4 linked regions of the Drosophila melanogaster genome follow. The protein of the gene in region 1 purifies or fractionates together with the protein of each later gene. This does not show direct contact. Each region holds a gene or a part of one and is shown on either strand. Other genes may lie near its edges. The genes, in order: AIF, CG1603, GAPcenA and Sk2.

What was found.
Region 2: the proteins of AIF (region 1) and CG1603 purify together in Drosophila melanogaster (affinity purification with mass spectrometry, with the first as the bait; one large-scale study listed by BioGRID). This does not show direct contact.
Region 3: the proteins of AIF (region 1) and GAPcenA purify together in Drosophila melanogaster (affinity purification with mass spectrometry, with the first as the bait; one large-scale study listed by BioGRID). This does not show direct contact.
Region 4: the proteins of AIF (region 1) and Sk2 purify together in Drosophila melanogaster (affinity purification with mass spectrometry, with the first as the bait; one large-scale study listed by BioGRID). This does not show direct contact.

What each region holds. Positions count from the first base shown.
Region 1 is NT_033779.5:2,149,920-2,155,620, forward strand, and holds AIF (apoptosis inducing factor), read left to right. Parts: upstream 1-1,834; 5' UTR 1,835-2,115; coding exon 2,116-2,227; intron 2,228-2,313; coding exon 2,314-2,546; intron 2,547-2,743; coding exon 2,744-3,025; intron 3,026-3,083; coding exon 3,084-3,186; intron 3,187-3,362; coding exon 3,363-3,612; intron 3,613-3,676; coding exon 3,677-4,491; intron 4,492-4,553; coding exon 4,554-4,978; 3' UTR 4,979-5,186; downstream 5,187-5,701. Other genes in the region: Tbcd (Tubulin-binding cofactor D), read left to right, coding at 1-342, 410-876, 929-1,534. UniProt on the Drosophila melanogaster protein: Probable NADH oxidoreductase. Mitochondrial effector of cell death that plays roles in developmentally regulated cell death and normal mitochondrial function.
Region 2 is NT_033778.4:7,513,323-7,518,336, reverse strand, and holds CG1603 (uncharacterized protein), read left to right. Parts: upstream 1-1,946; 5' UTR 1,947-2,072; coding exon 2,073-2,369; intron 2,370-2,430; coding exon 2,431-2,694; intron 2,695-2,754; coding exon 2,755-3,117; intron 3,118-3,173; coding exon 3,174-4,010; 3' UTR 4,011-4,491; downstream 4,492-5,014. Other genes in the region: CG1602 (uncharacterized protein), read left to right, coding at 1-312, 370-1,323. UniProt on the Drosophila melanogaster protein: Chromatin-binding protein involved in the organization of active promoters and insulators. Essential for the activity of heterochromatin promoters; primarily binds to specific motifs within promoters of housekeeping genes.
Region 3 is NT_037436.4:8,344,773-8,352,599, reverse strand, and holds GAPcenA (GTPase activating protein and centrosome-associated), read right to left. Parts: upstream 6,040-7,827; 5' UTR 5,431-6,039; coding exon 5,124-5,430; intron 5,060-5,123; exon of another isoform or gene 4,826-5,059; coding exon 4,547-4,825; intron 4,345-4,546; coding exon 4,161-4,344; intron 4,099-4,160; coding exon 3,911-4,098; intron 3,852-3,910; coding exon 2,755-3,851; intron 2,701-2,754; coding exon 2,512-2,700; intron 2,453-2,511; coding exon 1,733-2,452; intron 1,674-1,732; coding exon 1,221-1,673; coding exon of another isoform or gene 1,212-1,220; exon of another isoform or gene 876-1,211; intron 834-875; coding exon 666-833; 3' UTR 321-665; downstream 1-320. Other genes in the region: Culd (CUB and LDLa domain), read left to right, coding at 1-71; CG7182 (uncharacterized protein), read left to right, coding at 6,531-7,827.
Region 4 is NT_037436.4:3,045,328-3,050,659, forward strand, and holds Sk2 (sphingosine kinase 2), read left to right. Parts: upstream 1-1,759; 5' UTR 1,760-1,862; coding exon 1,863-2,839; intron 2,840-3,318; coding exon 3,319-4,327; 3' UTR 4,328-4,832; downstream 4,833-5,332. Other genes in the region: scramb2 (scramblase 2), read right to left, coding at 396-889, 1,310-1,424; CG32485 (uncharacterized protein), read left to right, coding at 5,212-5,332.

The sequences.
Region 1 (5,701 bases):
GTGAACTCTGTACCACTTATTACTGCTCAGATTCCAGGCACGGGGAAAACGAAGCCATAATCAACACTTATCTAACAGGTGCAGATAACGATTTGGAGGAGCACATTCGCATGGGCTACATTGCTGCTCTGGGTGTGCTCCCATCCTTTATGATCCGCTGTCATCTGCAGGCTATATTGGACAGTCTGGTGAAGCACTCCCTAACTCCACTGCAAGCAGTTCTGGTGGGTGAAATGGGTGACCGCGAGAACATCCAGGCATACAGGTGGAGCGAGGCACGGACACAGAGCGTGCTGGCCTTGACCAAGTTGGTGAAGACCGTGGGATATGGAGGGGGAATTGGTGAGTCAATGATCTTAGTTGTGGGCTAAGAATGTGAACAAATCTTAGTATACAATTATTTTTTCAGACTCATTTGCTGAGCCGAAAAACTTTAACAAGGTTATCGAATGCCTGTTAAGAGCTCTTCAAGAGTACACCCTGGACAACCGTGGTGACATCGGAGCGTGGGTGAGGGAGGCGGCTATGTCATCGCTATACGAAATCGTCACTACGTGTCCGCCTGATCTCCTCGCCCCAGAGCAAGTGCATGAGATTGTCGTGGGCTTTATGCAACAGGCGGTGGAGAAGATCGATCGCACTCGTGGATTAGGTGGTCGCCTTTGCTGCCAACTGATCCATCATCAGCCGAGGATCCCCTACATACGGGAGCACTCAAAACTCTTGGAAATATTTCCCGCGGATGCGGATTCCGTACTTTGGTTATTTGCCGATCACACATTCCCGCTGTTCTGCGAGCTGCTCTCTCTGCCGGATTACTCTAAAAGAGTTCTTTTGGGTCTGAGTGCCAGCATTGGTCAACTGACTGAATCTCTTGTAAGTTGTATAGACCACCTCTATATCAATCTCTAAAATATTCTTCCTGCAGATCAAGTATGCCTCCAGTGCCTTATTCCACTTCTTGCGTTCCAATCCTGAGACTGTTCCGCGTCTCTGCTCCGAGGTGGTCCAGATTTTCGAGGAGCATCTACTAAACGAGCGCGTGACCTATCCTCTGCTCAGTTTCCTGGATATACTCATTGGCTCCGGAACTGTAGAATCGGTTCTACACGATGAAGCAAATCCCTTTGCAGAGGATATCTTTAGGCTGCTCAACCTGGAGGTTAAGGGCTACAAGAAGCTGTACAAGACTGCGACCAGCATCAGTGCTTTTTGCCAGTTGCTCCAGGTTCCTCGCCTGTCTAAACGCATCCTCTCCAAGCTCTCAGTATTTCTTGGACTGCAGCACGTCCACGTTCGCAAAACCGCTGCCACAAAATTGTACGAAGCGTTGGCTCTGCACGGCGATGTCACCGAAGTGCCCGAGGAGAATATGGATGAGATCCTAACACTGCTCTCCGAAACGGACTGGACCCAGCCGCTGGTGGAGGTGCGTCCGCTGCGGAACCAGTTGTGCCAACTAATGGACATCAAGCCTCCCGTAAGTGGAGCAGCTGCTGCAGCCGCTTTGCAGCAAGCGAGTGCTGATAAATGAATGTTCCCACATGTATTTAATATATATTAATGCACAATTGTACTGACAACATACATAAGTGGTATTCATAAGAATTTTTATTCTTTATTTTGGAAGCACATCTTTATTTTAACATGTTTTTTAATATTTATCGTTTTCAAAACAAAGAGCTTGTAAGTTCGATTTTAAAATTTCACTTGCTCAAAATAAATTAAATATTGTTCAACATTTCAAAAACCAACGAACACTTTTTGATAAAAAGTGGCTATTTTCAAGCCAAATAATTTCGAATAGGCGCTGGGCCATTTCCCATTTCATTGCGACGGTCACACTGCGACAGAGACAGAAAAAAACAAGACAGGCGAGGGAATGAAAAATAAATATAAATTAAACGCGGACTACCCAAAAGCAAGGAGGGATAAAGGAGTCGAGATCAATTAAACACCGCCGGACTTCACACGGAGAAATTTGTCATAGAAATTGGTTTTTTTGTAAATAAAACACGAACTCGCAAAACACACGTTTCTTTCGCCGCACAACGTTGTTACGTTACACAATTGTGGATTGTGGTGTCACCTACTCCGCAGCCAGTGCAAATCACGATGAGTATTTGGGGGGTCCGATGTCTGACGCAGAGGTTCATCCGGCAGGCGTACATCCTGGCCAACAGAAGGCTATTGGGTCCAGTGCCGCAGCGCTCGCCGCCGGCATACGGTAAGTGAGGTTATGGCCGGCTGGCCAAACCGATCCGTGTTTTCATGTTTTTGCCGATAACTAACTAGCATTCACGTCGATTTCAGCTCCTCTTCGGCCAGCCCACAGCAGCCTCTATCAAATGGTAAAGAAACGCACCCTTGAGGCGCGCACCAAATTGCAAGCCAACAAATATCCAAATCATCAAGTCTGCGTCACCAAGCCCTCGACCACGCCCCCCGTTGAAGAGTACGAGACGGCGGTGGAGGGAGCCGGCGTTCCCGCCTACGCCAATGCCCAGTTTCAAGCCCATTCCCAATCGGAGCCACTCTTTAAAGTGGTACCCATCGTTCATACCATTCACCATCCATTTGCATTAGCTGGATAAGTTGGGGATGCAAACTAACTTCCTACAAGCCTTGTGAAATTGATAACTAGCGAAAACATAGCTGGGTTATTAAACAGAAACCAGTTTGCATCCCCATCAAAGACTTGCAGAGTTATTAACAAATATTAAACAATATAATCAATTTCCAGGGCTTTGCTGACGTCAAGTCCGTCTGCAGTGCTAAGGATGTGTTAAAGTCGGACAGTGCAAAGCTCAGCACCAGCCAACCCGTCCTGGATTCCTGCAAAGCGACTAGTCCCTGCGAGGAATTCAAGCGCAAACGAAAGGAGACCACCTGCCAGCCCTGCGACGAGGATGGTACTGCTCCCGGTGGCGGTGATGGTGGAGACGAGGAGTGCGAGTGTCGGATGAAGGACCTACGGCTTAAGTGCCTCTTGGGTGCCCTGGCTGCCTTGTTAGCCGGAGGATTTGTATGTTTCGATCTGATATCTAAAGGAAATATTCTCTAATTACTTTGCTATCATATAGCTCGCTTGGTTTATGACGCGGGATACGGATGACAGTGAAGCCAAAAAAGCCGAGGCGGAGGAGGAGGAACGAAAACGTAGATTAGTTGCTGGACTAGCCACGAGTAAGTAAAGCGAAAACCATAGATTTTTGAATTGGTAGGCTAGATTAAACCACATTTGCCAACTGATTCAGATAAGCATTATCTTATACATACCTCAAAATCATCATGATTGGATAATAATTACAACAATTTTCAAGATAGGCCGAGGTAACTTATCACTTTCTCTCTATGCGCAGGTCCGCCCAGTTCTGAGGACCTTCCCAAGCATGTGCCGTACCTGATTATCGGCGGCGGAACCGCTGCCTTCTCTGCTTTCCGAGCCATCAAGTCTAACGATGCAACAGCCAAGGTTTTAATGATTAGCAACGAGTTCCGCAAACCCTACATGCGCCCCCCACTGTCCAAGGAACTGTGGTATACGCCCAATCCTAACGAGGATCCCATCAAGGACTATCGATTCAAACAATGGACGGGATCCGAGAGAAGGTAGGTCTGAATAACTTTTTTTATATAATTGAAACCCATTAAGTTATTCCCTTCCTGTTCACAGCTTGTTCTTTGAGCCGGATGAGTTTTTCATTGACCCCGAGGATCTGGATGATAATGCAAATGGAGGGATTGCCGTCGCTCAAGGTTTCTCTGTGAAGAAGGTGGACGCTCAAAAACGCATAGTGACGTTGAACGACGGTTACGAGATAAGCTACGACGAATGCCTAATTGCCACCGGCTGTGCCCCCAAGAACCTGCCCATGCTGCGTGATGCTCCGCCCAGCGTGCTCGAAAAAGTAATGGTCTATCGCACACCCGATGACTTTGATCGCCTCCGCAAATTGGCGGCGGAAAAGCGTTCAATCACAATTGTTGGCAATGGATTTATCGGCAGTGAACTGGCCTGCTCCCTGGCACACTATTCCAGAGAGAACAATGGCGGTAAAGTGTACCAGGTGTTCCAGGAAAATGCCAACATGTCAAAGGTCCTTCCAAACTACTTGAGTCGCTGGACGACGGCAAAGATGGAAGCCCAGGGTGTCTGCGTCATCCCCAACGCCAGCATTCGCTCGGCAGTTCGCGATGAAACCAATCTAAAGTTGGAGTTAAACAATGGAATGACTTTGATGTCGGACGTGGTGGTGGTCTGCGTGGGTTGCACGCCAAACACGGATCTCGCGGGACCCAGCAGGCTAGAGGTGGACAGAAGTCTCGGCGGTTTTGTGGTTAATGCAGAGCTGGAGGCCAGGCGGAACCTGTACGTGGCCGGTGATGCTTCCTGCTTCTTCGATCCTCTGCTGGGCAGGCGACGGGTGGAGCACCATGATCACTCGGTGGTCTCTGGTCGGCTGGCCGGCGAGAACATGACGGGAGCAAGTAAGTTACTGGGCTTAAAGTTAATAACCGATCGATCATAATGTTCGCCGTACCTTTTGCAGAGAAACCTTATCAACATCAGAGCATGTTTTGGTCCGATCTAGGTCCAGAGATCGGATACGAGGGTATTGGCTTGGTGGATTCCTCGCTACCCACCGTTGGTGTGTTCGCCCTGCCCTCGGAATCCGCCACGCGCGTTGACCAACTGTCTGAGTCTAGTGATTCCGACGTGCCGGAGACCAGTACGAGTTCCAGCCAGTCGTCAAAATCTGATGCCGGGGCTAGCCAAGATGGCGTTACCTGTGATCCCGATGAGGCGGGCAACTATGGCAAGGGTGTAATATTCTACTTGAAGAACGACAAGATCGTCGGCATCCTGCTGTGGAACCTCTTCAATCGGATAGGCTTAGCTAGGACAATAATCAATCAGAATAAGAAGTACGATGACCTCAATGAGGTGGCCAAACTGTTCGAGATTCACGCGTAGAGAACAGCGAGTCCCGAGGGACCATGGAGAAGATCTGGCTACCCTGATATGCTTATCAGCACGCACCGAACAGAACCTATCCAACCCGAATGCCTTTAACTGTGTTTACTGTGTACATTTGCAACTGCAACTAGATACGAACGGCAATGACGCAATGCAACAGAAATTTTAGTTTTATTATTTTTGGAATAAACCTTATTTTGTAGTCAACGACATTGATTCGGTTATGTAGCAGCAAAGTGCATATCTCCGTGTAAATATTGAAAAGTCGTAGACAAGCGGGTCTCTGTTGAATTGTGTGTAACTTTCGTAATAAACCAAGCACCAGAAAGTTGTTGACAAAAAATTCACCGTACCAACTAAACTGTTCAAATTATTCATTTTCGGTGTTGAAAAATCCGCTTTTTGATCCTGAGGCACCCGTTATTTAACTAATCCTAAGAGATTTTGCTTTGATTCTTATTTAAATAAATCGTAGGAACTTTGGAACTTATTTTTTTTACTTCAATCATATAACCCATTTGTTTATTGTCCGAGTTGTCTCACAACGGCACAGAATTTAAATGTACATATTTTTTTGGAATTTTCCCAGAATTTGACTAAACCATCTGCCTTATAAAAGACGAGCACCTGGTTTAGGGTTTTAGGCTGGATTAGCTGAATATAGCGAGGATCAATAAAATTCGCGAAATATTATTTTCGCTGAAGTAGGATCCTACCTGA
Region 2 (5,014 bases), on another chromosome or scaffold:
TTCATAGAGATCTACAAGGAACACCCGTGCCTTTGGAATCCCGCTCACAGCGACTACAAGGAACCCAAGAAATGCAAAGAAGCCCTGAAGCGTATGGCCATTGACTTGGAGGCAACTGTATCCGTATTCCTGAACGAGATGGCCTTAAAGCTGGCCATCAAGAAAGTCCACATGCAGTTCAACACCGTGCACAAGCGGGTGGTGTCTGGAAAACAGAAACCTCAATCGCTGGCTTTCAGTATATACAAATTGTGTTGCTTCTTGAACGCTAGCAACGATGAAGAAGGGGCTACGAATAACGAAAAAATTAAGGCAAGATATTTGAATTAATTCAAATTGAAATTGTTAACAAGCATACTTTGCCCGCAGCTTGATTTCTCCAAGAAAAACAAGCTGACTACCGACCTGATAGAGATGTACGCAAACTTTCCGCAGCTATACGACTCCAACCACAAGGAGTTCTCCAATATGAGCTCTCGAAAACAGGCATACGAGAGCATGGCTGCGGAAATCTCAGTGCCCAATGTGGACATCAACAGCGATGACATATTCCGCGCCATCCAGAATCTCCGCCAATGGTACTACAAGAACACTAAGCATGCCATTTATGCCGGAAGTACAGCCGAGAAGTTCTACCTAGAGGTGTGTCGGTTCATGCCTGCAAAGATGTACAAGCAGCGGCTGGTCTGCGAATTTTGCCACCAGATTACGTCCTCGGATCATGTCCTGCAGTCGCACATCTTCAAGGCGCACAACATCGGCGAGCTGCCCTTCAAATGCACCTTGTGCGACCGAAGTTTTGTGGGACGTTGCGAGCTGGCTAATCACATACAGCGGGTCCATATCGGCAAGACCCACAAGTGCACCCATTGTGAGCGTTCATTCGCTGTGATGTCGGACCTGCAGCTGCACATCCGTACGCACACTGGCCACAAGCCTTACGTCTGCGAGCATTGCGGCAAGGCCTTCCGACTGCGGTCCCAAATGACGCTCCACGTCACGGCTATTCACACGAAGATCAGAGCCTTCAAGTGCACCATGTGTCCCAAAGACTTTGTGAAAAAGGTCGACTTATCGGATCACATCAAGGGCCATTTAAACATCCGCGACAAAATCTGCAGTGTGTGCGGTAAGGGATTCACCAGCTGCCATGCACTCATCCGACACCGGCAGATTCACTCCGAGGTGAAGAAGTTTGTGTGCAAACTCTGCGACTCCAGGTTCTCCCAGTTTGTGGGTCTTAATACGCACATGAAGCGCACCCACAACATTCTTCGTAATAATTCACAAAAGGGTAAAGATGCTGTGGATGCAGAGAACTGAATTTGATTAAATTTGCAATAAAATGACAGTTTATAAATAGGCAATCTTTTGCAAATGGGGGGAAATAAAAATACACAAATGAGAGTGAAACAATATGTTTAAACAAATTTATTTATATAACGGTTTAAGAATGTATATTAATAATTAAGAATATAAATTCTACATTATCTGGCCATGTCCATCTGTCGAAATCTGGGGATGTACATCTAAAAGCCTAAACACATTCCCCTGCCTACGCTGCGCTATTTTTTCCAAAATGTTGGCACGCCCACAAGGCGCCGACAACTGTAACGCCCATACATTTGAAAAACGTTTTGGTGTTTTCCTGTTCATATTTGTCTCGCTATTTTCTATCGATATGACAAAAAAAATATAATTTCTCAACAAATAAGCTTGATTGATTTTGATTTTTCCAAATGGTTAGTACTAGAATTTTATAACATTTTTTTTCGAAAATTGAAATGTACTAGTTACTTTAAAGATTCATTCATGAAATGCAGATTTTTAATCATTTTTAAGCACCACCAACAGTTGTTAAAACGTTTTCTTTTAAGCCTTCATAAAATTGTGTTTAAATATTATTTTAAAAATAGATTTTTATCGAATAGTCTATCGATACATAATTATTTCAGTCGTTGTCCAACACAGTCCCAAACGCATAAAAAAATTGTTACCTTAAATAAACGAATATATTTTCAGAAAAGGAACATTTTTCAAGCTGAAGTCAGATCAGAGCGCACAACGTAAGCATGGAGCTGTGCGGCAATGTGATGACCAACTCCAAGTACGAGATGTTCCGGCTGAAATGCCTCTACTGCAGCATAGAGAGCGAGCTGAAGGATTGGGAGCTGTTCATCGTCCATGTGAAATCGGCGCACTACTGCGAAGACGAGGACGTTAGGATTAATGAAATCAAAGAGGATACCGAGGAGCTATACAGCGTCGTTGACGCGGCGGACCCAGCCATCGCCTATGGGCCGGATGAGTTCTTCGAGGTGATCGAAAACAGCAATGGGGTCGATCAATGGATGGAAGCTGATAGCAAGGTAAGACTCTTTCACTCGCTTACCAAGGGTGGTCAAATAAGTGAGCTCTCGTTGACCGCAGGATATCCAGTACGAGGAAGACGCCACCGCTTGGTCTGCAGCTACAAACAATTCCTGGGAGTTCGGTCCAGGCGGCAGCTCTTTGGAACTTCCAGCCGGAAAGGAAGTCACACAAATGGACGAGTCTTCCCAAAATCACATACCCCTAAACACAGACGATGATGATGTTGATTGTAGTGACTTCTTTATGTCTGAGGATGACTTGGCACCTCCTAGAAAACCTGGACGTCCGCCCAGGCGAACAAGACCAGGACAGGTTTTCAAGGTTAGTACGTAGTATATTTCACTTAAGCTGAAATTCATTCCACTTAACGGCGTCATTCAGTTCAAAGTTTCGTTTATTCGGAGCAATCCCCGTGTGCTGCATTTGATCCAAGCGTACAAAGAGCATCCCTGCCTGTGGAACCCTTCCGATGAACACTACCAGGACGAGCCTGCACGAAGCATGGCCTACGAGGCGATAATGGAACGCATGGACCGCAAGGCCAATGTTCTCTTCACCGTGGAAGAACTGAAGAAAACGCTCGAGCAACTGCACGTGCAGTACACGCTGGCTTTGGAGACAAAACAAAGGGGAAAGCTTGTTGGACTTGCAGCGCGTTACTTTGCCAAGTGCGAGTTCCTCAGTGTGGCGCCTGTTGTAACGCCAAGGGAGAACGAGGAGGACAACGACTTGACTGCAATTAAGGTAATAACTAGCCCACTATAATGTAGCTCTTTTCTGACCAAAAATCCTTTTTTCAGCTTAATTTTAAGGAGGAAAACCTGATAACCACCTCATTCATAGAGACCTATGCCAACTATCCCGTGCTGTATAATCAAGCGTTGCCAGACTTTGGCTCAATAGAGATACGTGCAGATGCCTTCAAAAGAATGGCAAAGGAATTCCAGCCAGTGGTGAAGGCCAACGAAACGGACGTTTACATTGCGGTCAACAAGCTGCGCCGTTGGCTTTACGATGCCATTCGTCGCCTCAAATCCAAGGAACTAATTCAGAAGTGCAGCAAGCAAGAGGTTCAGTATCTGCAAATGTGCAGCTTCTTGCCCGCCAAGGGTTCCGAAAGTCAGGTGCTGTACTGTGACTACTGCGATAAACGTTTCCACGGCGACTACAACCTACGGGTGCACATCGTCAAGGCGCACGAGGTGGGCGACCTACCGTACCTCTGCTCGTTCTGCCCGAGGCGCTTCGACCGCCACGTAGACATGGACCGTCACAAGCTGCGTTCCCACTTCGAACGCAAGTTGAAGTGCCAGTACTGCGAAAAATCGTTCGCCGTGGATACCGACCTAAAGGTGCACACACTAATCCACACGGGCGAGCGGCCTCACGTCTGTGACATCTGCGGCAAGACATTCCGGCTCAAGCTACTCCTGGACCACCACGTCAACGGAGTTCACCTGAACATTAGACCCTACAGCTGCAATATGTGCACCAAAACCTTCCGCAAGAAGTTCGAGCTGGCCAACCATATCAAAGGACATCTGAATATCCGTGATAAGAAGTGCGAGTACTGTGATGCTACGTTCTATGACCATTCTTCGCTTTCCAGACATCGCCGCAGCCACAGATCGGAATGAACTCTCGCCTTGAGGGACATTTTTAGAAACTGCTTTATTTTTTGATAACGAGAATCAGTAAGCTTCATTTGATGTAAATCAAGAATAAACTTACGTTAGAGTAGTGATAATAACAAGCGTGTTGTTAAGCACTTACGGCTTTTGTGTATTTGATAAGAACATGTGTATGATAATCATATGCACAAGCTTTTCCTTTTTCATACTTTCCTTTTCAAAATTTGGTTTAAGGAATGTATTATTCATAAAAAAAAGAAGAAGCCGGAAAAATAAGTTCGTTTTAAGATAAATTTGTATAACCGTTACTTGTAGAGGAGATATTAGAATAACATATGATTTTTTGGTTCTGGCTCTAGATCTAGAGCTGGCTTGAGGCTCTCCCGAGTTTTTGTTCAAAAGTCAGAGAGCGGAGAGCTCTAGAGCTAGCAGCTCTATTATTATTATTTTTGATCAAATGACGTGTACAAAATTTTATATATATTCATTTTTAACAATGTATTTATATTTCTTTTATGAAATATATTTTTTTAAATGTATTTTCCTTTTTGCCAAATTTATATTTTTAATTACAATAGTTATAATAACGATTTAAGACTTTATTTAGTTTATTAGCTTAAATAATGATGAAAATAATTTTTATACGGTACAAGATACTGCTCATAGACCCTTGTTGAAGTATGTCGTCAGTGCAATTTTAAATATTTTTAATTATAAGCAAAAATAAATAAGCGGTATTTAATTAATAACAACTCTTCTTAAAAGAATAGTCAAGGCATTAAATTTTAAATAACTCTGTAGTAGATCGTATTGCAACAAGCTTTGACCAAAACTTTAAATATGTATGTATGTACCTTCGTTTCTGAGATCAAAATTGATTTCGAGACGAAAGTTTTCTAGCACAAGTATGCTCATATACACTTTCTCGTTTGTTGTTTTAACACACACAAGGAAGTACATTCTATTTTAAGAAATTTACGCTCTCCATTTTACGCGTGCGGAGTGAGATC
Region 3 (7,827 bases), on another chromosome or scaffold:
ACTACGCGACAATGGCGGTATCGACGCCACAAAAAACGAGCGAGGCAATGCAGCGATTGTTCTTCATCTGAGCGGGAGATTCAAAATGGAAGAGTGGACAAGTGGAACGATAGTATTAAAGCCTGGTGTGATTCTGGTCGGATTCTAGTCACATATAAATAAATAAGCCTGTTTCTTACTCGAATGTTATTAGCTTATTGAAATTCTTAATAAATAATTAACTTCAACTTCATCAAGACTTATCCAAAAGGTCGCAACGTTTGTATTCTTTATAATATGTACCATACCGCAAAAAGAAATGAATAATTACATTATGAATTAGCATTTTTTGTTAATTTATTTATTTATAGCCGTTATACGTGTAGCATTTGCCAGAGCAGATCAATATGTGCCCCAGATCAGATCACAAAAAACAACAACGAACATCCATCGCCCAAGATTCACTTCAACCCACTAATTGATCCGGGGCACATCCTGACCAGCACTGACTTTCGGGTGCCTCAAAGTGCAAAATAATAAAAATCTATTACTCGCGTATATATGGAAATCAAAATGCACGTTTTTATATGTATATATAGACGAATATGATAAATAATACCAGACGTAGTCAATGCCGTAGGTCTGCCTGCTATCCAGATCCTCCTACGTTGTAGCTGTATCGTTTCCTACTGCTGCAGCTGTTGCTTGAGATTCTCGGCTAGCGTTTTGCCAGTGTCCAGGGGCACTACTATATTGCGCAGACTATCGATGCTGTTGCGCAGCTTGGTGGCCTGGAATTTGCTGGGCAACTTCGGTGACCCTCCCACCGACGCAAATGCAAAGGTCTTGTACTCCTGGGCAGCCATTCGAGGGACCAAAAGATTCAAATTCAGTATGTTATATACACGGGGTTTTATTTGCAACGCAAAATATCAATAAAATCATAAGCAACCCGGGTTTTAGGGTACTAACAGAAACAGCAGAGGGGTTCAATGCCTGCATAGAGTCGACTAAATAAAGATTCTCAATGTGTGTCATGGTGTGAGGTTAAGCGCGTAATTAAATTAATCAATGATAAGTAATGGGTATTAATAAAGTATTTCGAAAACATTCCTGGAGCTCAGCTCGTGGGCTGATAACCCATATCTTAATCATAGAAATAATACATAAAAAACTTAAAAATAATAAACTGAAGATCTTTCAGTCATAACAGTTGGCCGGATCACTGGACTCTAGGTTACCTGATTGCCGCTGGGGGAGCTGGCCTCGCTTAGGGTAGTTGGCGCCTGGCCCATGTAGGATTGGAATGAGGGCATCGGTCCGCCACTACCATTATCCCGATGGCCGCCTCGCGTGGTTACCTTCTCCTGCAGCGAATTGAAGGTCTTCGATAGCCAGGGCTGCCAGCTGTTGCGGTTGGTTTGCAGCTCACTGAGCGTATTGCTGAGCTGATGGTTCAGGTCCTGGTTCTTGCACTCGGCTTCCACTTGAGCTAGCTTGGCCTGGGCCAGCTCCAGCTCTAGTTCGCGGATGCGTTGCGAGGCAGCGTTTAGCGGATCAAGTGGACCCAGTGGATGCTCATTGGCATTCCGCATGGCATCGGTTTGCCCCCTGTTCTTGCCGTCATCTGACTTAGCGTTGTCATTGCCGGCGTCGATCTGCTGCTGACAATCCTGGCAATTGGAAACCATGTGCTGAAAGAGAGTTGAAAAATGAATATCCCGTCAAATTCATATTACAATACAATACTCACCATCACTTTTCCTAGAGTCTCGCTTAGTGTGTTCATGTCCTGCTCTTGGCGCTGGATGATCTGCTTGTATTCCTGTATAATGCCTGTGTGCTTCTTCTCCTTCTCAACAGCTCGCTCCTTGGCGGAAGTCAGTTGTTTGTTCAATGCGTCGATTTCCGCCTGCATTTTGCGCCTCTCCTCGCCGAAACGATTCTCGTAAATCTGTGCCTCCTTCTCCAGGCGCTCCTTGTGCTGCTTCTTCAGCAGGAACTCCTCCTCGTACTGCTTCAGTTTTTTTATCTTACGTTCGCAGGCTTGCTTCATCACCTTGCGTGCCTGACTGGAGCTGCGGCACTTTTTCGGCAACGTTACCCGGAAATACTTTAGAATGCCCTCAAAATCGAGTTGCCGCAAGTCGGATTCACAGATTGATAAGAGAGTAACGGCCACCTGGAAGAGCACAGGTAGTCCGTCCAGTAGAAACACATCCAGCACGTGGAACACAAAACACAATGGGAATCGCGCTGTATATAAGGTTAGGAACCATTGGGAGGCGTACATGTGCGTCTCAATGCCGCAGGCCGTGAAGTGTTCGTGCAGCTTGGGCAGCTGATCCTTGATCAGTCGCTCCAGTTGGTAGAGACGAAGGTAAAGGACCTCGAATCCGGCTTTGTAGAGATCACGGAGCCCATAGTCGTACATAAGCGCTACCAGAACACAGAACGCATCCTCCTCAGGCATCTGAAAATGTGTGTGTAAGCAATCATTCTTAGATGTAGATTGTCATCATCATTACTTACATGAAGGAGCAGACTAGCTGCTATGAAACTTAGACCCTGACAATATCCAACCTCGCTGTCATGAACGGCATACGCTTTGGACACCTTAAAAAGTGCATCTTGGCCAGAACCGCCAATTTCTTTGAAGCATTTGTGCGCCGGGAAAGTGCGATGGATGTCCCGCTGGATAACGGTCTCACATTTGGTTTCCTACAAGTAAATTTCCAATTAATTTCTTTTCACATGGATAGCGTCTATACTCACTTTGGTGATTAAGATCTTGTACTTGTCGTTCATTTCCATTCTGCCCTCGACGTTGGCTAGCTTCTGCCAGATCTTTTCACGCAGTGCTTCTGGAACGCCGAGGCGTACTAAAGGTGCCAGATTTTTCGGTCTCTTCTCGGAATCCCACTCACGCAGAATGGGATCCCATTCGTCGAGCGTGTCCTGCGAGCAATCCTTAGATACCTCACCAGTGCCACTCAGCAGCGGCTCATCCCCATCGCTGCTGTAGTCCGAGGGACAATCATCCTCAATCGAGGCAATGGACGAACTGCGCACAATGCGCGATAGATTATTCATACCCATCTTGAGCAGGGAAGAGCTTTGCTGGTGGCCCGGCTGCTCCGTTATTTCCTCAGAGGGATCAATGCTATTCACTTTCCAGTTGGACTCTTCGGTCCGCTTTAGATGCAAATAGAATCGTAACGTCATGGGTCGCTTTGACATAAAATGGTCCATAATACGCATTTCGCTGGCCGACTGAATGGTCACTGGGGTCTCAATGACGAACCTAACCGGTTCCTGTATACGTCGCATCACAATGTCTACGGCCACAGTGAGATTGGTCTTTGACGACTCAAGATTTAACTGCTCAAAGGCCTTTTCCTGGGCTTTCCACTCAGCTCGAATTGTATAGGGCCAGGAGGAGCTCTGCTGGGCATTGCTGTCCGATTCGGTTGCTACTCCTGTTCCGCCGGGCTGAATGTAACCCATGCTGTGCATGTCGATCAAATGCATATCCTTTTGGACTACTAGTTTTCCGGGTGCCACTAGAACACCGAAACATCGTTCGATATGCAATGGTTGAAGAACATTTGACGGAGTCTGTTTGACTGTGATGCACACTTCCTTATCTGTGTTCGCCCTTAGCTTAAAGCATCCCCTATCGCGAGGCACTGCGGCATAGGAGTTCTTTGCCACTCGCTCACGGATCTCTAAGGAGACTATGAACTCATACCCAGCCGTGTTTAAAGGATTTCCGCTTACATCGGAGGTTACCGAGTTGGCCATGTCAACGGCCGAATTAAGGCTGCAACTCATGCTGGGCGGATAAGTCTGGAATGCCTTCTGGAAGCAGGCTGCGGGCGAAGATTTTGAATAAATCGGTGGGATGAAATCACTGTATGATCTGACTCACCGCTGACTTGATTAACCGCTTCGGGAATATGGCACCGAAACACATGGCACTGAAACAATGCATCGCCGTGAAGCCAAGTGAATGCAAAGCATCCGTTTTCCACCGTATCCACTGGTCCTCGATAGTACAAGATAATGCTGGATATCTCATAGGTGGCAATAATAGTATTGCTCTCGGCATCGTGGAGGCTGTAATAGCAGCATGATGACGCTCAGTGAGTAATTCAAGGGGCAGTAAAAACTTTACTCACACAACCAGGCCTTCTGAGCAATTGGGTATGCTCACAGTGATCTTCAGGCCCACCGACTTTGAGCCACTATTTAGCTCGCCCATGATGCGATAAACCTCCGTCTCGGATTTTGGGGCATTAATGTTGGCTGCGCCCAGGTAGGTGACTCCGGAAAATATGGTGCAGCCCTGATCGATTTCAGAAACTGAAAGTGAAAAACACATGGTCAATTAAATTTCAATAATTACACTAAACATAGATTTCAGCTTTAGGAGCCTAGGAACACAATATAGAACAAATAATAAAGAACTCTGTGAGTATATAGGCTTTCGTAAAATGAACAGAATTTATAGGCAAATGTACCCCTTAATTTTTGGGATTTTAACTAACTTAAGAGATCTACTCACCCTCCTCGTCGGTGGTGTCGCCCTTCTCCGGCTTCATGGCATCCTGTTTTTCCTCCACGCAGGCGGGGCTAGCGTCTATGCAGTCATAGAACACTGAATGACCCACTCTGTTTGAGCTGGATGCATCGTCGAGGGTCTCCTCGCTTTTGGGCGTGAACAAGGTGCAGGGGAAACGCATCTCGGGATCGACAGATCCCCCGCCGGAGCCCGTGAGCGGTAGGGTCAGGGACTTTTGCTGATGACTCGGGAGACGTTGCGCTGACTTCTCCCCACTGGCAGCTGCAAATATGTTAATTGTCAATTACGCGACGAGCAATAACAAATGCCGAATTATGCGGAATTTTGTTTAAGGAAAGTATTATTATTCGGTTTGTTTGTCGTTGTTTCCATGACAGCGTAGCACTACGGCTCTGCGCCGATAAGATTGCAGCTGGTTAGGCTTAGCAATCGTTTGATGTTTCCAATAGTGGAGCGACCGCGACGTTGTGTGCACAGCTGGCGTTGGGCAACGACTGAGTTTACTTTAGGCTACCCAGGGCAACCCAATTCACCCTCTCAGTTGTGTTTCTTTACTCACCTACGCCGCGTTCCAACTCCAGATCTTTGAGGGCGTCCGTCATCTCGTGCTGCATGTCGCTTAGGTTGCGATTGTGGGCCATGTCCAGAGTGGGCGAGCGATCTCCCCCAGCCTCGGGGGAGGACAGAGCCAGAGCACTCAGCGAAGTGGGCGGTTTGCCACCCACTTCAGGCTGAGTTCCCTCCTGGTTGACAACCTGCTTCACCTGCTCCATGGGACTGGCCACATTGCTGTCGGTAACTATTTCGTACTCCCCGCTGGTTGTTATCGAGGATTCCGAGGACTTGGTGCTCAGATTATCATCCATTCCGAACACTCAAGGTTGCCTCAGTTCCAGGCACTCCCAAATGGGTTACTCTTTGTTGTGTGTGTGATATATTCGGACTTTCTTTATTCTTAAGCCCTACGAATTGCGCATTTTCAGGGCAGGTAAACAAATCAATTTCTGTTCCAAGGCCACGCACTCGTACTCGCACTCGCTTTTAATAGATTTCGTTTTCAATTTGTCCAATTTTCAGCGGAGTCGCATTGTTTGGCTTGGTTCCGCCGTAAATCGATGACGAATCGGTACGGTTTGCTTGGCGTTTTGGGGGCGTACACACACGCGCATGTATGTCACACAGTGCCCAATTCGCGTGGGAACTGGAGGGGTTGGGCCTTCAAGGGGGTGGTGGACGGTGGGGTCGGCGGGGTCAACAGTTTGTCTCTGTAGCCTCTGCGCTTGGATTCCTATGGATTTTTTTGTTATTTTAGTGCGTGCAGCTGCTTTGAGCTTACACTTTGGTTTTTATATTATAGCCTACACTCCGCAGAACTGTAGTACATTGTTTTGACCCTTTATTGTTGTGTTTTTATCGGGTTTTTAGCAATTTTCTTGCAATTTTCCGTCTGTTTTGTTTACATATTTTTTTGCTAGTGATGACCTGCAGTAGGTCGATTCCTATCGAAAGGAAACAGCTGCTTTAACGTTATTCAATACTTCTTTTGAAAGTGTTAATAAGTGTACCTATCGACTTAATCGACTAGTTATTTTCTTTTCTATGCATATTGCCATATGCTTATATGGCAATCTAAATAATCCAATAGCATTACAAAGTTGTCTTTGACTGAAATGACTTGTCTTGAATAAATTTAAATAAATATAAATAAATTTTTAAATTGTAATTCAAAGAACCAAATCTATAAAGGTATGTGATGTATGGAAAATATTGAGAACATATTAAACATATAGTACATATCGAAAAAGTGTCATCGCCGTGACATAATACCCCGCCAGTGTTGCCAAATACTCTGCTACACAACACTACCGCGCGTGCTGGAAAAAAACGTGCGCGTTTATTCGTTGCATTTTGTTAAGATAATTCCTTAAGTCCGGGTACTTCTGACTCCGATTCCGACTCCCAAAAGATGTGGCCGCGATTTGGCATTAAGATTGGCAACAGCACGCTTTGCATCGCCCATGTGCGCGCGGATGGCAAGGCGGAGGTGATCGCCAACAAACAGGGCGACCGAGTGTCCCAAGCGTGCCTTCTCTGGGACGGAGCCTCGGAGATCGAATGTGGCCTCACGGCCAAGCAGAAGATGGCCAACCGTCCGCGCCAGGCGGTGGCGCACAGCTTTCAGTTGCTTCAGCCCAAGGAAGAGCTCACGGAGGAGAAACTGTCCAGTGCGCTGCGTGAAATACCCTGCGACTTTGACAAGGAGGAGCTGGTGTTCCGGATGGAGCACACTGTACCCTCCGACAGGGAGGACCAAGACGATAGAGTTGTGACCAAGGACCTCAGCGCCTATCAGGTGACGGTGGAGCTGCTGCGCGCTGAGCTGGAGCTGGCCCATCAATATCACACGGACGGGGAGCAGGCGCCCATTGCCGTGCTATCCATACCCAGCTACTATCCCGCCTCGGCCTACAAACTGCTAGCAGATGCCGCTCAAACCGCTGGCTTCCATGTGGCCCAGATTATAACCGAACCCACGGCCGCCGTTCTAGGCTATAGCATCGGCGAGGAGCAGACGGAACAGCGCCGCCATGTGCTGACAATCAAATGCGGTGGCTTATATAGCGACATCGCATTCTACTCCGTCCAAAATGGCCTGTTCGTTCAGCTGGCCACTTTCGGACCCTTCCCCATCGGTGGCCGGCAATTCACCGAGGCCTTGGTGCAGTTTATTTGCGAGGAGTTCCGTCGCAAGTACAAGCTAGATCCGCATGAGTCTCGCCGCTCAGTGGCCAAAATACGCACTGCCGCCGCCAATTGCAAACACATCCTGACCACGATGCCTTCCACGCAACTTTATATCGACTCCCTGATGGACGGCGTTGATTACAATGCCCAGATGTCGCGTGCTCGCTTCGAGAGCCTCATACAGCCAGTGATCAATAACCTCATCCAGCAGCTAGGCGAGTGTGTGGAGCAGGCGCAAAAGGAGCATCCCGGGTTGAGTAAAATAGATGACATCGTTCTACTAGGCGCCACAATGCAAATCCCCAAGCTTCAGGCGGCAGTGGGAGCCCGCTTCCCGGATGCCAAGCTCCACAACAGCCATTCGGCGGACGAGGTTGTGGCCATCGGCTGCGCGCGCCAAGCTGTGTGCCTGATTGACCCCCTCGAACAGCAGCTTCACAAGGAGGAGGATTGCGTGGTGGCTGAGGATGACCTCTTCATTTGGCACGGTAATGACGAATCCAACGCCAAATTGGTCC
Region 4 (5,332 bases), on another chromosome or scaffold:
ACTTGGTGCATTTTAGCCATAAAAAGTATAAATTGATTGATTGATTTTCCTATATCTAGAGGCATCTGTTAAATAACGTATACAATTGAAAATTTAAAACTAGTGTGGGTGCTATTAATTTGAACGCTTCTGTCTGTTCATAATTATTTAGAATATATGTATATAGGCACTTATAAATGTTTAATAATTAAAAAAGCAATTAAGTGGACGCCTGATACTGTTCATTTTGGAATTTTATAAAGCTTCGTCTTTGACTGATGAAGACCATACATATGTACTCCTCCGAAGAATTTAAAGCTAATCCGCTGACCGCTGCTGTGTGTGTATACACTTGTTTGGGCATTGGGAATCGAGATCGAGAGCCAAGAATAACCACTTGTTGGCTGCGTACTGACCTTGAAGTTGGTATCGCTGAAGCACTTGCAGGGACAGACGGGTCCCTCGATCTGCAGGACGGTATCGCCGCATGTGTTCTTGATGTTGAACTTGGGCCGCATGAAGGTGCAGACCTGCTCAACGCTACCGATCACCTGGCCGGGTGGCGCCGACACCTCCACGGCGTTCATGCAGCTGGGAAAGCAGCAGAGGATGTCGCACTTGAAGGGCCGGTACAGGTGGAGCACCTCGTTCTGAAAATTGTCCAGTATCTTCATCTCGAAGGGGCGCGACCGGCCGAGCATGTTGCGGGTGCAGCAGTCGCTCTCCTCGTACGCGAAGTACACATTCTGGCCCAGTGAGTTCTTCACCTTGAAGCGGTTCTTCGTCTCGAAGCCGGTGAGCAGCTCCAGTTTCTCGATCTTCTGCGACACGAGCAACTGGTCCAGAGCGGTCAGGTATTCCAGTCCCTGCGGGCAGTTGGGCATGCCCACGGGTATCGACATCCAGTTTTCTGCAATGGGGCGTTGTTCCGGATTAGCTCCCTATGTATTTATATTTATCTATATGCATAAAGTGCTTTTCCGATATCTATGCATGGGTAAAGGAAATTAGCATAGCTACAATGGCGGTCAGGCGATTAGGGCCAGTGATAGCAGTTCTTAACATAAACTAATATTTTAAACAATATGTATTTACGTATTGACTTGGAATCACTTCACTTTTTGGTACATTATAAAATATCTTTTTTACATAGATAACTATGGGTGCTATTGCCATGCCCGCTGCTGTACTAAATGCCAAGAAAGAGACGACGGCATTTCCGCCTTTCGCACACGCCCACTAGCCCACACAGACGCGCGCAACCGACTAGGTCCATCCGAGTGATGGAATTCAACAGTGGACAAATCCATATATGTCCATCGCTACGCACCAGGTCCGTTGGCATTGTTGCCAACATTCGCCGCCTGCGGCTGCAGGACCACTGCGCCATTCTCGTCCTGCGGTGCATTCTGCGGGAGCACCTTGTACTCGCTCATCTGCATCATTGTTATTCCCAGCAATTAAATTCGTATCGGATTCTTTAACAGTTCACAAAACACTAAATGCAGGGTGACCGCGTTGCGAACGCCGAAAAATGCAACGCAAATGCACCGTACGAAATATTCTGTCATATATTTTGGTATTTATTCGAACACAGAAAAATATCAACAAAAAGCTTTCAGCACTCAATGCAGTGACAAGTTAAATTTGTTATGAGCTGACGTTTTTGTGGATTCATTTGTATTATTGCATTGTATTGCAATAGTTTCCTTAAGCTAGCCTCTTTAAGTTCTAAGAATTTTGAGTTTATTTGTGCCAGTTGGTATATTCGCGCCTGCCACCGACGGTAACACTGCGGCTATGATTGGATGATAAGCGATCCATAAAAGCCTGGACACAAAAGACCTGAAACATGCTGCTTGGCAGCCGAATCTCCAGTCGAAATGAGCGAATCTCTTGATAAGACCACCAGCCCGAGCTCGGCCAGTTCCAGGGCCACGCCCCCGGGAACGCAGGATGCGGATGAGGGCCACGACGTGAGCGATACCTTCTACACGAGCCAGCGCAAGAAGGGCAGCCACGTATTTCGGGTGCGCCTTGACGCCACAGGATTCACCCTGCAGCGGGAGTCGCCGGGCGGTAGCATTGTTAAGGAGCAACATGTCCGCATATCGGACATTGTGGGTGCCCGCTGCATGCGGCCCAAGAAGAGCCGGCGCCTGGCGATGTCGGGCGCCTGTGCGTGCAGCTCCGGTAATCCCAATTCGCCAGCCATCTCGGCGTCCGGCGATCACCATCGCCCTGCCACCACACCAAGCAAATGCAGCACCAATAGTCGGGATAATATTCCTTCGGATGGCGGCGATGTCAGCGCGTTTCTCTACGTTTTTGCCTATGTTCTGAAGAAGAGGAGCCTGCGGTCGGAGTTGCACCGGGAGCGAACGGTGCTCACTCTGCGCTTCCGGTCGTTCGACACCTTCGAGGACAACATGAGGGAGGCGGATCGTTGGTACAGATCCCTTCGCTGGCAGTTGCATCGCACGCTGGAGGAGATCTTTGTGGCGCCGACGGTGGATGAGCGACGCCGTCGAGTGCTTGTGCTGTTGAATCCCAAATCCGGTTCCGGTGACGCTCGTGAGGTCTTCAACATGCACGTGACGCCGGTGCTCAACGAGGCCGAGGTGCCCTACGACCTGTATGTAACCAAGCATTCCAACTTTGCCATCGAGTTCTTGAGCACCAGGTGCCTGGACGCCTGGTGCTGCGTGGTGGCTGTCGGCGGAGACGGTCTCTTCCACGAGATAGTCAATGGACTGCTGCAGCGCCAGGACTGGGCCCACGTCCTGCCTCATCTGGCACTGGGAATCATTCCTTGCGGCTCCGGAAATGGATTGGCCCGCTCCATTGCCCATTGTTACAAGTATGTTATCTTTGTTTCATGTTTCATTAGGAAAAACCCCCTTTTGACTTATGTGGATCTTCATATTTCGTGTAAAACAATCCCTCCAGCGTCTAGCCATGCAGTTTATCATTAGATTACATTCATAAGCAAAAGTAGTTTTCTTATCGTGTCAAATGGTTTTGTTGTTTTGCAAGTGGGGATATCCCCTTAAAGTTAAATTGACGTCAGACTAGAACAAACTTTCCACATCGTTAAGTAATTGCCCCCCAATTTCGTTCAACATTTAGTGGCATATCATCGAACTTTGAAATCTTTATGTTCTTTCTTTATGTTCATCTATAGCTCAACTTCCCGATAAAAGAGTATAAAAAGGGTAATAGAAAAGAATGTTTATAGACTTTAAAACCACATTCAGGTGTCTCATATCCGATCTATTGGTCGTAATCCGATTATCAGTCTTGTGTTGAAACCTATTCACTTGAAACCTTTCTCCCCAGCGAACCATACTTCAGCAAGCCAGTGCTAGGAGCTGCTCTGACCGTAATCAGTGGACGCAGTTCACCCATGGACGTGGTCCGGGTGCAGCTGCAGAGTCGCTCCCTCTACTCCTTCCTGTCCATCGGCTGGGGTCTGATCTCGGACGTGGACATCGAGAGCGAGCGCATTCGCATGTTGGGCTACCAGCGCTTCACCGTGTGGACCCTCTACCGTCTGGTGAATCTGCGCACCTACAACGGCCGAATCAGCTATCTTCTGACGGACCATGAGGTGTCCTCAACCCATAGCGCTACCGGTTATGCTGCCCAGCGGAGAATGCAGAGCAGCCGTAGCTGCAACACGCACATCGACATGCTAAATGGGCCGGCGCCCATCTATCATTCCAGTGCCGAGTACCTGCCACAGGAGTTTGCGGACGTGATCTCCCTGGAGACGTCCATCAATCAGTCGTTCCGCTCGAGGTGCGACAGCTGGTTGTCGGGGGGATCGCGGCGCAGCTTTTACTATTCCATATCGGAGAGCATCTACCACAGTCTGGCGGATGAGAGCGAGTTCGCCGGCCTGGCGGCCGCCTCGCTGGAAAACCGGCAGCAGAACTACGGTCCGGCAAGCGAGCTGCCGGATCTGAACGAACCGCTGTCCGAGGATCAGGGTTGGCTGGTGGAGGAGGGCGAGTTCGTCATGATGCACGCCGTTTACCAGACCCATCTGGGCATCGACTGTCATTTTGCGCCCAAGGCCCAGCTGAACGACGGCACCATCTACCTGATCCTCATACGCGCCGGCATCAGCCGCCCGCACCTGCTGAGCTTCCTCTACAACATGAGCTCCGGCACTCACCTGCCGGAGTCGCACGACGACCATGTGAAGGTGCTGCCAGTGCGAGCATTCCGCCTGGAGCCCTACGACAATCACGGCATCATCACGGTCGACGGCGAGCGCGTCGAGTTCGGGCCCCTCCAAGCTGAGGTCCTGCCGGGCATAGCCCGCGTCATGGTGCCCAAGTAGGAGGAGCTTACTGAAGACCATCAAGCAATAGAAATCTCAATTTTGGAATCTCTGCATTTGTAGCTAATACTTAGGGTCCCAGGTGGCCGATATGAGAGAGTTGTGCATTCTACATATTTCGTGTTTTTGTGGCCTGCTTCTGCCAACCAATCATGTATTGTTAACATTTTAAACACAATAACAGCTATTTCCGAAATATCTAACATGTTTGTTTATAAAACGTGTGCCATATGAAGTGCACGTGAATTTATTTTTATCTCGGCTGTTCAAAATAGCGATGAAAGTCTTATTTATTTTGTTCTTTTTTTTTTTAAACTGTGTAACGAAATGAGATATATATTCAAAATGTTTAAAGATGAATACAAATAAATCTTCATGAATTCAAAAATCTTAGAAAGTAACAGTGTAAGTAACAGAGCTAAATCATTTACAATTCCATATTTTAAAGTAGGAAGTTAAGAATATAACATCTTTGAGCTTGAAATAAAAAATAAAAATGTTAACTAATTTCAGCTCTGTTTCAATTTGTTTTCTTCTCTTTACTATATAGTTTAAAATATTTTTCAAAATTTATTATCAATTAAAGCTTTTATTAAAATGTAACGGTTCCAACCAATAACGGTAATTTTTCGGTATTTCGTGCTTGCATTTAGTATTGTTGTGGAACGCAAATGACAGCTTTTAGAGAGTTTCAGCCGGTCACACTGGTCGAAAAAAAAGAAAAAAACAAATCCGTTCCGTTTGTGAAAAAACATTTCCGAGTAAAAATAAACAGCGCTGCTTGCATTTCACATAGTGTCAGCACATTCCGATTCCAGTCCGCGACTCTCCAGCACGGAATCCCAGTCTGCATTCCGGTCAGGAAGCGATTCGTGCTCTACAATATGTCGTCCGAGGAGCTGGCGCCAATTAACGAGCAGGACTTCAAGGATCTCAAGGAGCGCATGAAATTGATTGTGGAGGCGGATCCAAAGCAGTATCACAATGACTTTTCGCTGCGTCGCT